Neurospora crassa OR74A: one gene and its partners. The protein of the gene in region 1 purifies or fractionates together with the protein of each later gene. This does not show direct contact. Links are inferred from orthologs where the notes say so. Each region holds a gene or a part of one and is shown in the gene's direction. Other genes may lie near its edges.

What was found. Proteins that work in one complex are often made in the same cells at the same time.
Region 2: the proteins of NCU01503 (region 1) and NCU08968 purify together in Saccharomyces cerevisiae (affinity purification with mass spectrometry; 8 studies listed by BioGRID, with this or other methods). This does not show direct contact. The link is inferred for Neurospora crassa OR74A from reciprocal best matches to the Saccharomyces cerevisiae genes TSR1 and DIM1.
Region 3: the proteins of NCU01503 (region 1) and NCU07956 purify together in Saccharomyces cerevisiae (affinity purification with mass spectrometry; 5 studies listed by BioGRID, with this or other methods). This does not show direct contact. The link is inferred for Neurospora crassa OR74A from reciprocal best matches to the Saccharomyces cerevisiae genes TSR1 and PNO1.

Annotation. Positions count from the first base shown.
Region 1 is NC_026502.1:3,251,129-3,255,123, reverse strand, and holds the start of NCU01503 (pre-rRNA processing protein Tsr1), read left to right. Parts: upstream 1-1,159; 5' UTR 1,160-1,353; coding exon 1,354-1,462; intron 1,463-1,629; coding exon 1,630-3,974; 3' UTR 3,975-3,995. Other genes in the region: NCU01502 (small nucleolar ribonucleoprotein complex subunit), read right to left, coding at 1-469, 535-843.
Region 2 is NC_026505.1:5,864,681-5,868,316, forward strand, and holds NCU08968 (dimethyladenosine transferase), read left to right. Parts: upstream 1-1,341; 5' UTR 1,342-1,589; coding exon 1,590-2,378; intron 2,379-2,436; coding exon 2,437-2,812; intron 2,813-2,874; coding exon 2,875-2,906; 3' UTR 2,907-3,112; downstream 3,113-3,636. Other genes in the region: NCU08967 (arrestin domain-containing protein), read right to left, coding at 1-776; NCU08969 (hypothetical protein), read right to left, coding at 3,466-3,636. UniProt on the Saccharomyces cerevisiae protein: Specifically dimethylates two adjacent adenosines in the loop of a conserved hairpin near the 3'-end of 18S rRNA in the 40S particle.
Region 3 is NC_026504.1:1,226,281-1,230,019, reverse strand, and holds NCU07956 (pre-rRNA-processing protein PNO1), read left to right. Parts: upstream 1-1,455; 5' UTR 1,456-1,706; coding exon 1,707-2,002; intron 2,003-2,070; coding exon 2,071-2,378; intron 2,379-2,441; coding exon 2,442-2,611; 3' UTR 2,612-3,215; downstream 3,216-3,739. Other genes in the region: pod-1 (mitochondrion biogenesis protein), read right to left, coding at 1-1,027; NCU07957 (hypothetical protein), read right to left, coding at 3,712-3,739. UniProt on the Saccharomyces cerevisiae protein: Required for small ribosomal subunit (SSU) synthesis. Has a role in the processing of early nucleolar and late cytoplasmic pre-RNA species. Recruits DIM1 to nucleolar pre-RNAs.

The DNA of each region.
Region 1 (3,995 bases):
AAACGGGTGTGCCCAGCTTCGTTGCGATTTCGGTGACGATCTGACCGGTCGATGTGTCCTGGTACTTGAGCTGGCCGTTTGTGCCCAGGGTGGCCAGCAGGAAGTGGTAGGGGAGGAATTCGAGGTGGGAGACTTCGACGTGTTTCCTTAGGCAGTGGAGCTCGACGCCCTGCGAGTCGTAGATGTAGGTGTACTTCTTCTGAGCGACGGCAAAGTATTGGTTGTTGTGTAGCCACTTGACGTCCCTGATGGTCTCTCCCAACTGCAACTCACAGCCCAGCTTGCCGTCTCTCCAGTCCATCGTAGCGACATGGCCCTTTCGTCCTGCCAGAATCAGATCCCGGCCATTCCTCGAAAAATCGCAAATGTAAGGGCCTAGTTGGTCGAGCTTCAAGTCGAACTTTTTCTGGGCGACCTCAATGTTGACTTCGCTGACGATGTCCTCCTGGCGAACCTTGTATGTGCGTTCCTATCGTGACCAGCGCGGTTAGTATCGCGCAAGAGGCTATAAACTCCCAAGCCATGGCTACTCACAAGCTCATGTTCAGCCTCGAGGAAACCGCCGGCATTCTCGAGAAGGATTTCGGCCTCCTTGGCCTTTAGCGTGGCCGTCTGGTACTTTTCTTCGAGGTTGGTAAGGTTGCGCTTGAGCTTTTTGTCCTTGACGTTCTTGACATCGATCTTGCGACCACGGCCGTACGACTTCTCTGCTGCCTTGACTTTGCGGATCTTGTTGGCCTCGGCCTTTGATCGGAACTCGCTTCGGACGTTGTTGATGGCAACGGCGCCGCTGGGCTGCTCTGCCCTCGAGAGGGAGATTTCGGCCCTGTCTGTAGTCTCCATGGTGCCAATGGGTCGACGCGACACAATGGGAATGGGTAATATGTGTGGTGGACTAGGACAGTTGGATCGGCGACGGGATATGGATGGGGGCTGAATATGGAATTGGTCTGGCGGTTTCTCGGTGTGCCCGTGTCTGTCCCTCGCTTTGGCACTTTGAATGTTTCCTTTCCTCGACAACTTTTTTGGGGCCGGACCCACTAAAAAGTTGGATGGGGCAGCTGTTCCGCAGCGATCATTGGCTCCACTGCGTACAAGAGTCCGATAAGATAAGTAGCGAGACGGCCGCCCATGTTCGCACAACTCAAAAAAATGCAACGAGTGCCCCGCCATTGACATTGTCCCCATCACTTTATTCGATACTCGATAGACGGATTGTGACCAGAGAGGTTCTCGAAATCTCTTTTCAGTCCCAACCCCCCAGCCTCTTCTCTTCATCGCCTCCCCAGGTCCAACATCCTGGCGTCAAACTCGCTCCCTTTTCGGTTCAAAGCAGGCGGCGATTCCAGCAATATGCCCGGCGCCGTGAGCGGCCACTCGCATCGGCCGACGACCAAGGCGTCGAACAAGCCCTTCAAGTCACGCCATTCTACCAAGGGTGCTCTCCGGAATGCTGCCAAAGGTACGGATTGCATATAACAGCCGTGCCTCATGCCAAGGTTGTTGCCTTGGACTATGCTCTACTTCACCCAACTTTGGCGCACCAAGCCCAAGCAGACATGAATATACAGCTGCATATAAAGAGGTCGACAACGTCCACACAGCGCTAATACTTTCAACATTCTATAGGCAAGGTAGCCGAGGAGAGAGGTGTGCGCAAGACCCCCCATCAACAAGTCATGTCCAAGTTCGACCGTCGCAACCGTAACAAGCAGCTTCAGCTGCAAAAACACAAGGAACATCTCCAGGAGACCTCCATTTTCGCCGGCAAGGATGGTGCCCCCAGAAACGTGGCCGTTATCCCCCTGTGCAGCGACGGTGACGCTACCGAAGCCATCAAGAGCCTGAACGCCAGCATTGATATCGAGACCGAGGTGCCCGAGGGCGCATTCCGCGTTCCCGTCGACAGATTCAAGCAGAAGCTTCAATACTTCCCCCTCAAGCGCGACCTTACCGCCTGCCTGGACGCTGCCAGAGTCGCCGACTATGTCGTTCTCGTTTTGTCCGCGCAGGAAGAGGTCGATGAACTTGGCGAGCTGATCTTGCGCAGCGTTGAAAGCCAGGGTCTCTCTACCCTCTTCACCGTCGTCCAGGGCCTCAACAAGATCGAGCCCCAAAAGCAGAGACTCTCCGTTCTTTCGTCTCTCAAGTCCTACATCACCCACTTCCACCCCGAACAGGATAAGGTCTTCAGCCTCGACAACAGACAGGAATGCTCCAACCTCATGCGCTCGCTATGCAGCACTACACCCAAGGGCATTCGCTGGAGAGACGAGAGGAGTTGGATGCTTGTGGAGGAGGTCAAGTTTGGTGAGTCTACCGTGCTTACCGGTGTCGTCAGGGGCAAGGGCTTGAAGGCCGACCGCCTGGTGCAGGTTGGCGATTGGGGCACCTTCCAGGTTGAGAAGATCACAGCAGCTCCCTTGGCCAGGAGGAAACGTGGAGAGGAGGGCATGAACGTGGAGGAGGGCGCTGAGGAGATTCTCGACCAGCCTACCGACGACCGCGATGATCTTGTCGACCTTGCGCCCGAGGAGGTTCGCATGGAGGACGACGACGATGACGAAATGAACGACGGAATGACCACAATGACGACTTCAAAGAAGGGTGTTTTGTTGGACGACCACCATTACTTCTCAGAGGAGGAGCCCGAGGCTTATACTGCGCCAAAGAAGCTTCCCAAGGGTACATCAAAGTACCAGGCTGCGTGGTACCTAGACGACGATGTGTCTGATTCCGGCTCAGATATGGAAGAGGACGATGAGATGGAGGACGACGACGAGGAAGAGGCCGCCAGGCCAGAGGATGGCGAGGAGGGTCTTGCTGGTTACGCGCCAACAGAAGCCGGACAAACCGAGTACCCACAAACTGAGGGCGGCTTCATCCAACCTGATGCTGATGAGGATGCCAAGCAACTAGAGGCTTTCCGCAAGCAAAAGCGGGATGAGGCTCAGGATGACCTCGAGTTCCCTGATGAGATCGAGCTCCACCCCCACGTTCTTGCTCGTGAACGTCTAGCCAAGTACAGAGGTCTCAAGAGCTTGAGGTCAAGCCCTTGGCAGGAGGATGAGGACCGCGCATACCAGCCAGAGGATTGGGAGCGCTTGTTGAAGATCCAAGACTACCAGGCCTCCAAGATCAGGGCGTCTAGGGAAGCCCTTGTCGGAGGTGTTGCTCCTGGTACCCGCGTCCACGTTTACCTTAAGGACGTGCCCGCGACCATCCAGCAATCCTACAACCCCAGCCAGCCCGTCACTCTATTCTCCCTGCTCAGGCACGAGTACAAGAAGACTGCTGTCAACTTCCTCATCAACCTGAGCGCGGACGCTGCCGCACCCATCAAGGCCAAGGAGGAGTTGATCATACAGTGCGGTCCCCGCCGCTTCGTCATCAACCCGCTCTTCTCCCAGGGCGGCAACACTCCCAACGACGTCCACAAGTACTGCCGGTACCTGCACCCCGGCCAGTCGGCTGTCGCTACTTTTACGGGTCCTGTCACATGGGGTGCTGTACCCACCCTCTTCTTCAAGAGGCAAGTGCCGGGCTCCGTGCTTGACGAAGATGGCGAGCCCGTCTCCAATCTGCCGCTCAGCCTCGTCGCCACCGGCACTGCCCTGCCCCCCTCGACATCGCGCGTCGTCGCCAAGCGTGCCATCCTTACCGGTCACCCGTACCACATCCACAAGAAGATTGTCACCATCCGCTACATGTTCTTCAACAGGGAGGACGTTGAGTGGTTCAAGGCTCTGCCTCTGTGGACCAGGCGTGGCAGGAGCGGTTTCATCAAGGAGGCGCTGGGTACCCACGGTTACTTCAAGGCTACCTTTGACGGGCGCATCAACCCTCAGGACTCTGTGGGCGTCAGCTTGTACAAGAGGGTGTGGCCCCGGAGTGCCAAGCAGCTGGGTGCGCCTCTGCTGGATGCCGCGGCGCTCCAGCAGGAGGTTGATGAGGACGCTATGGATGCGGAATAGAGGAAGAATTTCATGTCTGTT
Region 2 (3,636 bases), on another chromosome or scaffold:
GATGACCCTGCATTGCTACTCCCAGTCCACCCGCTGAAGAAAGAAGCTCGTTTCTTGGAAGACGCGTTTGTCCTTGGGCTTCGTGGACGGAATGCAAAGGGTCGTCTGGCATAGGCTTCGTGGTTCGTCTTGGGCGGCCTTGGAGGCTCAATAGGAAGGAATTTCAAGCCGGTCTGCATCCTCCAGTTCTCCTTGAAAAAGCCCGGTCTCTGAATGGTAACCTTGACATAGTATCGAATCTCGCACTGGCCTGGGAATCCGGTGAAACTGGGTGGGAGCGTCTTTGTGACATGGGAGTACATCAGCTGCTTGGTGCCGTCCATAACACGAATGCCACCGAGACCGAACAAGCCAGAACCCGACGCGATTCCACCGGCACCAGAAAGGCCTCCTAGTTTGGCCATGGCGACAGGATCACCACAAGCATTGTTGAAGGGAAACTTGAACTGGAAGGGGAATCTGTGTTGACCAGCGGCTAGGACATAGGGCTGTGGCAAGGCGTTGGTCTTCTCGTCGGGAAAGGCCTGGGTGACTTTGTATAGGATCTTGTGGTTCTCGTAGATAACATCGCCGGTTGGAGTGCGCTCCCTCTGAGCAATGCCGGTCCCTGAGCCATCGGCGGGTACTCCCAAGGCCGACTTGGCTTCACCCTCGAGTTTGACGATGATGCCTCCGATCTGTTCGGGACGACTGAGAGTGAGGACGACCTGGCCGCGGATAATATCCAGGTTTGTGTAGAACTCGGGAGGGTTTTCGAGGGCGATCCGTATCGACATGGTTGCGATTGATTATCGTCAACTTCAACAGAGAAATGAGGCTATCACCACATGAACCAAAACAACAAGGAATAACCAGTGGGTCACACGCCCAGGTATGAGCCAAGGAGAAGATGATGGAAAAGAATCTGTTATTTTTTTTTTACAATCCGATTTCCTCGAACCTTGGGAGGGGGTTGGTATTATAGGTAGGTAGATGAAAATTCAAAGCCACTGCCTGTCTGCTTCGATGTGATCAGCTTCACACGGCAGTTAGGTGATGACGGGGAAGACCCTCACTGAAAGACCGGAGGATTTGCCGTTTAAGTGCTGGGTAGCAATTTGAACCCGCCGCACATGTTTAGGGCGGCCTCCGCTGTTACGTCAGACGGGGAATCATCGGTCGGAAGTGGCCGAGGTGCCTGGATTCCACTGATGTTTCCAGTGGGCTGGGCCGCCGCCGCCGCCCGCATGGTGTCTCAATGGGGAAAGCGGTCAGCCTTTTGCTTATCTTATCAGCCACATGTCTGGCGGGGCATCTTTTTTTCTGCCGCCTGATCCACTCAAAAAAAAGATGTCGGCCGGGGTCCGGCGCAGGCACAAGGAAGCTCTCTTCAGCCTGCGGTACCTCTGTCCGTCTCACAATAGAGGTACATACTACAGCCATTGCGCGACTGCCGTGACTTGAGAACGAACCGCCCAAGTCTCGACCCGGACAGAGATCGACCGAAACGACGAAACCCTCCATCGATCCCCCAACCTTCTCGTCCGACCTCGATTCCGAGTCGTCTTCCTCCACACACCTACCCACGACAGCATTGACTAGACTACACCATGCCCAAGGCAGCGAAGGCGTCCAAGAAGTCGGGGGGCGGCGGCAACCCCTACGATCGCAAGGGGGGCGGCGGCGGCGGCAAGGCTACCAACACCAACATCTTCAAGTTCGACAAGGACTTTGGCCAGCATATCCTCAAGAACCCCGGTATCTCGGATGCCATTGTCGACAAGGCCTTCCTCAAGCCCACCGATGTCGTCGTCGAAGTCGGTCCCGGTACCGGCAACATCACGGTCCGCGCCCTTGAAAAGGCAAAGAAGGTCATCGCCATCGAGCTCGATCCTCGTATGGGTGCCGAAGTTACCAAGCGTGTCCAGGGCACTCCGCTAGCCAAGAAGCTCGAGGTCATTCTCGGCGATGTCATCAAGATGCCCGAAATGCCTCCATGCGACGCTCTCATCTCCAACACTCCCTACCAAATTTCCAGTCCGCTCATCTTCAAGATGTTGGCCATGCCCAACCCGCCCCGCGTCGCCGTACTCATGTTTCAAAGAGAATTCGCAAAGAGACTGGTGGCTCGGCCGGGTGATGCTCTCTACTCGAGATTGAGTGTCAATGTCAACTTCTGGGCCACATGCAAGCACATCATGAAGGTCGGCAAGCAGAACTTCAAGCCTCCTCCCAAGGTCGAGTCCGACGTCGTCAGAATTGAGCCCCTTGTTGGTTCGGCGCGCCCCAACATTGCTTTTGAGGAGTTCGACGGTCTCCTTCGCATTGCTTTCAACCGCAAGAACAAGACCCTTTATGCCGGCTTCAACCAGAAGGAGGTCCTCAACATGTGCGAGAGGGTACGTTTCTTCCCATGTGTTCACAAGCTCCAACTCTTACTGACCACTTCGTTTCCAGAACTACAAAGTCTACTGCACCCTCAACAACATCCCCATCGACGAGTCCCTCGCTTCCGCGGCTGACCTTGCTGCCGCCGGCGCCACCAACGATGCCATGGACGTCGAGATGGACGACGACAACGAAGACAATGATAACGAAGAGAACAACGACGATGACGAGGCTATGGAGGAGGATGAGGACGAGGACATGCCCGTCTTCTTCAAGGAGCAAAACGACGCCAACGCTAAGGACGCCAAGACACCTAGCAAGAACCCCAAGTCCAAGGTGGCCTTGATAGTCAAGGCCAAGTTGAACAAGGTGCTTACGAGCACCGGTTTGGCGGACAAGAGAGCTAGGCAGTGCGATCAGAACGATTTCCTCAAGCTGTTGCTTGGTACGTTTTCTTCCCCCTCGGCTTCCCTTTCTGATGGACAACCTCGCTAACACTCCTGACAGCGTTCCACGAGGAGGGTATTCACTTCTCTTAGACGTGTGTTATTATTGCGAACACGCACAGAAATCATCGGCGTACGGGGCGTTTTTTGGGGATTGGGAAAATGTCGTTTTTTAAAAATTCTTTGTTTTGTTCCATTTGTCGTGGAAATACCATTGATCTGGATGCTAGGATTTGCACAATCATAAAAGCCAATGAATCTGGCTGCCACTTTTGCCAGGAATCGAACCATAATCATCTTTCGTTTGGATTGCTTGAGCGTCGGATGTTGTTCTCTTCGTCACGTTGCTCAAACATTGCTGAGAAGCAATTGCTGACAATACCAGACCTACCGCATCGAGATGTCTTTTATAATAAAACCATGGATCGGGGGAGTGGTCAGTGACCTACGGGACCGAGTCCTTGGAGTAACAGGGAAACGGAAAGCACAGGAGAGCAAGCTGTTTTCCTACCCTACCTCTCTCAGTAACAGGCGCCGAGTGCGTCGTTACCAAGCCAGAAAGCGTGGAAGCCTTCTTTCGATAGCTTGTCAGTTGTTCAAAACCATTGAAGAGGGGCAAAGAAAAAGAAGAAGAACAAATGGTGACCGCAACTTATATTTTGGAAAGCACGACACTGGATACTAAAATGTGTCGCCGTTCTTGTCCTTCTCTCCTCCACTCCTCCATTCTTCGACCTCCATCCTCCGCACCCAACACCCATAGCCCAAAAACCACGAAGGTCTCAGCACCCATGCCATCGCCGGCGTCCCCATCGGGAGAAAC
Region 3 (3,739 bases), on another chromosome or scaffold:
CTCCCCATTTGGGCACAATAGCCGACTCGAAGACAACAGTAAGGCCAGCAGATTGGGTCAGGTAGTCTCCGATCCACTTGGCCAGCGTTTCCTGGGCAAACACCGTGTTGATAAAGAGGATGATGAGGGAGAAGAAGGTAGTTGTGCCAACAAGAATCCAGACCAAATGACCGAATAAGAAGAAGGACACAAACGCTCCCCATTCGTCGGCGTTCCAGGGGCGCATGCTCCTGATGGAGAACCACTTGAATCGGACCTTGAGACGCGACCAGAACCCGCTTGCTGCCGCCAGAAGCTCTTCTTTTGTGGGCCGATGAGGCAAATGGGGGAGGTGAGGAAGGTGAAGGTATTTAGACATGGAATCTGCTATTGATTCATGTGCGGGAGTCGGCTGGGAACCAGAACCGGAAGCCGTCTCGGTATTCGGTGGCTGCTGTGGTTGCTCGGACTTTTGCTGAGGAGAAATTGTAGAAGACTTGGCTTCGGCCTTGGTCTCGTCATGATCACCCTTGGTCTCTTTGCCCGAACTTTGGAATCGCTTTCCTGTCTTGCATAACGTTGTGGTCGTGGTGTTCTGTCGTATCCTTCGCAAGAGTAAAGCCTGCCGAGCCAAGTGGCCCATTTTTGCCTTTTGCGCGGCATTGCCGGATAGTGCGGATGCCTCTACCGTGCTCGTTGGAGAGGGGCTGGTGGTGAGCCCAAGGAGGAGTAGGCCTCCGGAGGTACAGCTTCGTAGGACATTATGGGATGGTTGTGACTGTTGATAGTGTAGTCTTTGCGATTTTGTTGCTGGGAAGAAAAAGCGACTTGCGGAAGAGGTAAATTGTCGCGTGCTCTGCTGCTGTCCGTATCGCTGATGGGACCCCAGCGATGTCGAGGGGCCAAGTCCAAGACTTTGACGACTCAGTAATGGCTGACAAGTTGGAAGCAGTATCGCGGCTGTGAAGAGATTCGAGGTGGTGTGAAGATCTCGTACTGAAGACCATAGCTGGCGGCCCAGCTGGGTCGTCGTAGCGCTAGTAGACATTGTTGAAATTCATACTGTCGACCGAGTAAGGGACCGACCTGTTCCTTTTTTTTTTCCTATGTTTTCAGCGACGATGGTGATGACGACAGCTCGGTGCCGTATCCATGGTCGGTCCTCGAGGCTGAAAATCAGATGTTGTTGCTTGGTGGTGGGCCGAGTCTAGAATGACATATGATGGTGCTCCTGCTCTGACCAAGAACCTGGAGTTTGAAAAAGCTGCCGGTCCAGGTCCCCGTCAAAAGTGCGTCAATGACGCTAACCTTGGGATTACAGGGATTCCTCGGTAACTGTTAGTGCATGGGCGTTGCGATTGGCAAGGGTCCTAGCCCCCATGCAGCCAATCGATAAGCTTCACTTGGGTACTCTTTTGTGGATCCACTGCTTTTTGTCAAGAATTTCCCCTCTGCGCTATCAAAATCGATAAACATCAAAATTCTAGAGACCGACGGCGCAAAAAGGCAGAACTTCGACTCCCAGATCTCCGCAATTCACGACTGTAACCCAGCATCCCGACACTTCTTTCGTCGCCCGTCACCAGTCTCTCCTCCACCCGATTTTCGAAAAATCTGCCATTACTCTTGGCCGGCGATTTCCCAAAATACTACCGACTTTAATCAACAAACAACCCGACTCGGCCCCTTGACCATCACCCACCGATAAACAACACATCTCGCCCAACATGCCTGCGCCAACAGCACTTCGTCAGCCTGTCAAGGCTCCCGCCGCCCAGATTCCTATCCAGACCGAGCAAGAGGACGAGCTCATTCTCGATGTCAACGAGGCCGTCAACCTCACCGATCCCAGCGCCGCCGCTCCCCCTTCCAATGACCAAGATGTGCAGATGGCTGTAGACGAGGAGGGCCGCCCCCGTTTCGCCCCCGGCCAGGACGTCCAGATCATTCGCCGCGCAGAGACCAGGAAAATTGGTATCCCGCCAAACCGCATGTCGGCCCTCAAGGCCAATTGGACCAAGATGTGAGACGGAAAACTACGGAAACATGTGTGAATGTTTGGGCAAGGAAGACTGACTGTTTTCCAATCAGCTACCCCCCACTTGTAGAGCACTGCAAGCTCCAGGTCCGCATGAACATCAAGGAGAAGCGCGTCGAGCTCCGCTCCAGCAGACACACCACCACCCCCGAATCCCTGCAGATGGGTGCCGATTTCGTCTCCGCCTTCGCCATGGGCTTCGACATTGACGACGCCATTGCCCTGCTCCGTCTCGATTCGCTCTATATCCAGTCCTTCGATGTCAAGGATGTCCGTCAGACCCTTGGCCCCGATGCTCTGGGACGTGCGATTGGTCGTATTGCAGGCAAGGACGGAAAGACCAAGTTTGCGATTGAGAATGGTACGTTCACCATTATGGGAGAATGGAAGAGATGACGCAGAAGTACTGACAAGATGTGAAAAGCCACAAAAACCAGAATCGTCCTCGCCGGCTCCCGCGTTCATATCCTCGGTGCCTTCGAGAACATTGGCATGGCCCGCGAGTCCGTCGTCTCCCTCATTCTCGGACACCAGCCCGGCAAGGTGTACAACAACCTCCGGATCATTGCCTCGAGGCAAAAGGAGAGATTCTAAGCTCTTTCTTTCACGAAAAACGGCAACAATGTGTTACACTTCTATTGCCGCTATTCTCACCTAATGAATGGTTCACGCACGGGGCTGCATGGTTCAGTCAACAAAAAATCGACGGTTTTCATCACATAAGGGGCGAAGGTGGCATTTCGGGAGCTACGCTTAAAAAGGGTTCTGGCGTTTAGGAGTTCATTATGCTTTTGCTTTGAGTTTGGAGAGTTTGAAATGGGCGATTCAGTCAGTCATGCTGGGGATATCTACGAAGGTGTGTAGAAGCGGGAGGAAGAGGACGGGATATTGGGGAGCTACCGCCTTGCGAATCTTTCAATGTGTGGTTATGATCTATACCCGGAGGACGAGAAGAGAAGACAATGAACAGAGATATTCACCAAAAGGCGGTTTAGTGCATATTGGCTGGCAAGGTCGATTATTGTGCAGAGAAAGTGATGTGGGAAACTGATCCAGTGCGCTCATTTGGTTGAGGTTCAATTCCATGGTGACGGCAAATCAAGCAAAATGTAAGGAGCTGATGTGATGGGCACCAATGTAGCCAGGTGAGCCACGATAGATTGGTTTCTTCAGGTCATACAAGTAGTAGTTATTTCCATCCATTCTCTTATCTCGCTTGTTCCGCATAAGTAAAGGTCTTGTTTGTTTTACAGTCCAGATGGCGAACCGTATATCGAAATAGCAGATAGAGCATAGTCAAACCCCTCGATATTCACCTACGATAGGTGGGATGAGACCATCTTAACCCGAGGAGGCTCTTTTTGTGCTCTGACTGACCAACTCCCATGACTCATCAAGCTTGTTGAAATAAAGTGAAGGCAAGACGTAGCAAAAAGTGATATACGTATGGGTATCTTCTGAAGAGCTAGGGTACCACCTCCGCACCATGAACCGTGTCCTGGAAGGACTTGCAACACTCCAAACTCCGTAATCATCTGTCACAACTTTAAGCAAAAACAATAATCCACTAGTCACCGCCGATTTCGTAGGCCTGACGAATAAGCCCGGTAAACTCCAACCCCATAACAGCTAAAGAAATGTGCGAATAACGTCTCCCAAAACCCAGTCTCCATGTTTATTCTCCAGGTCATACACTACTTGATGTAGACCTCAAACTGATTG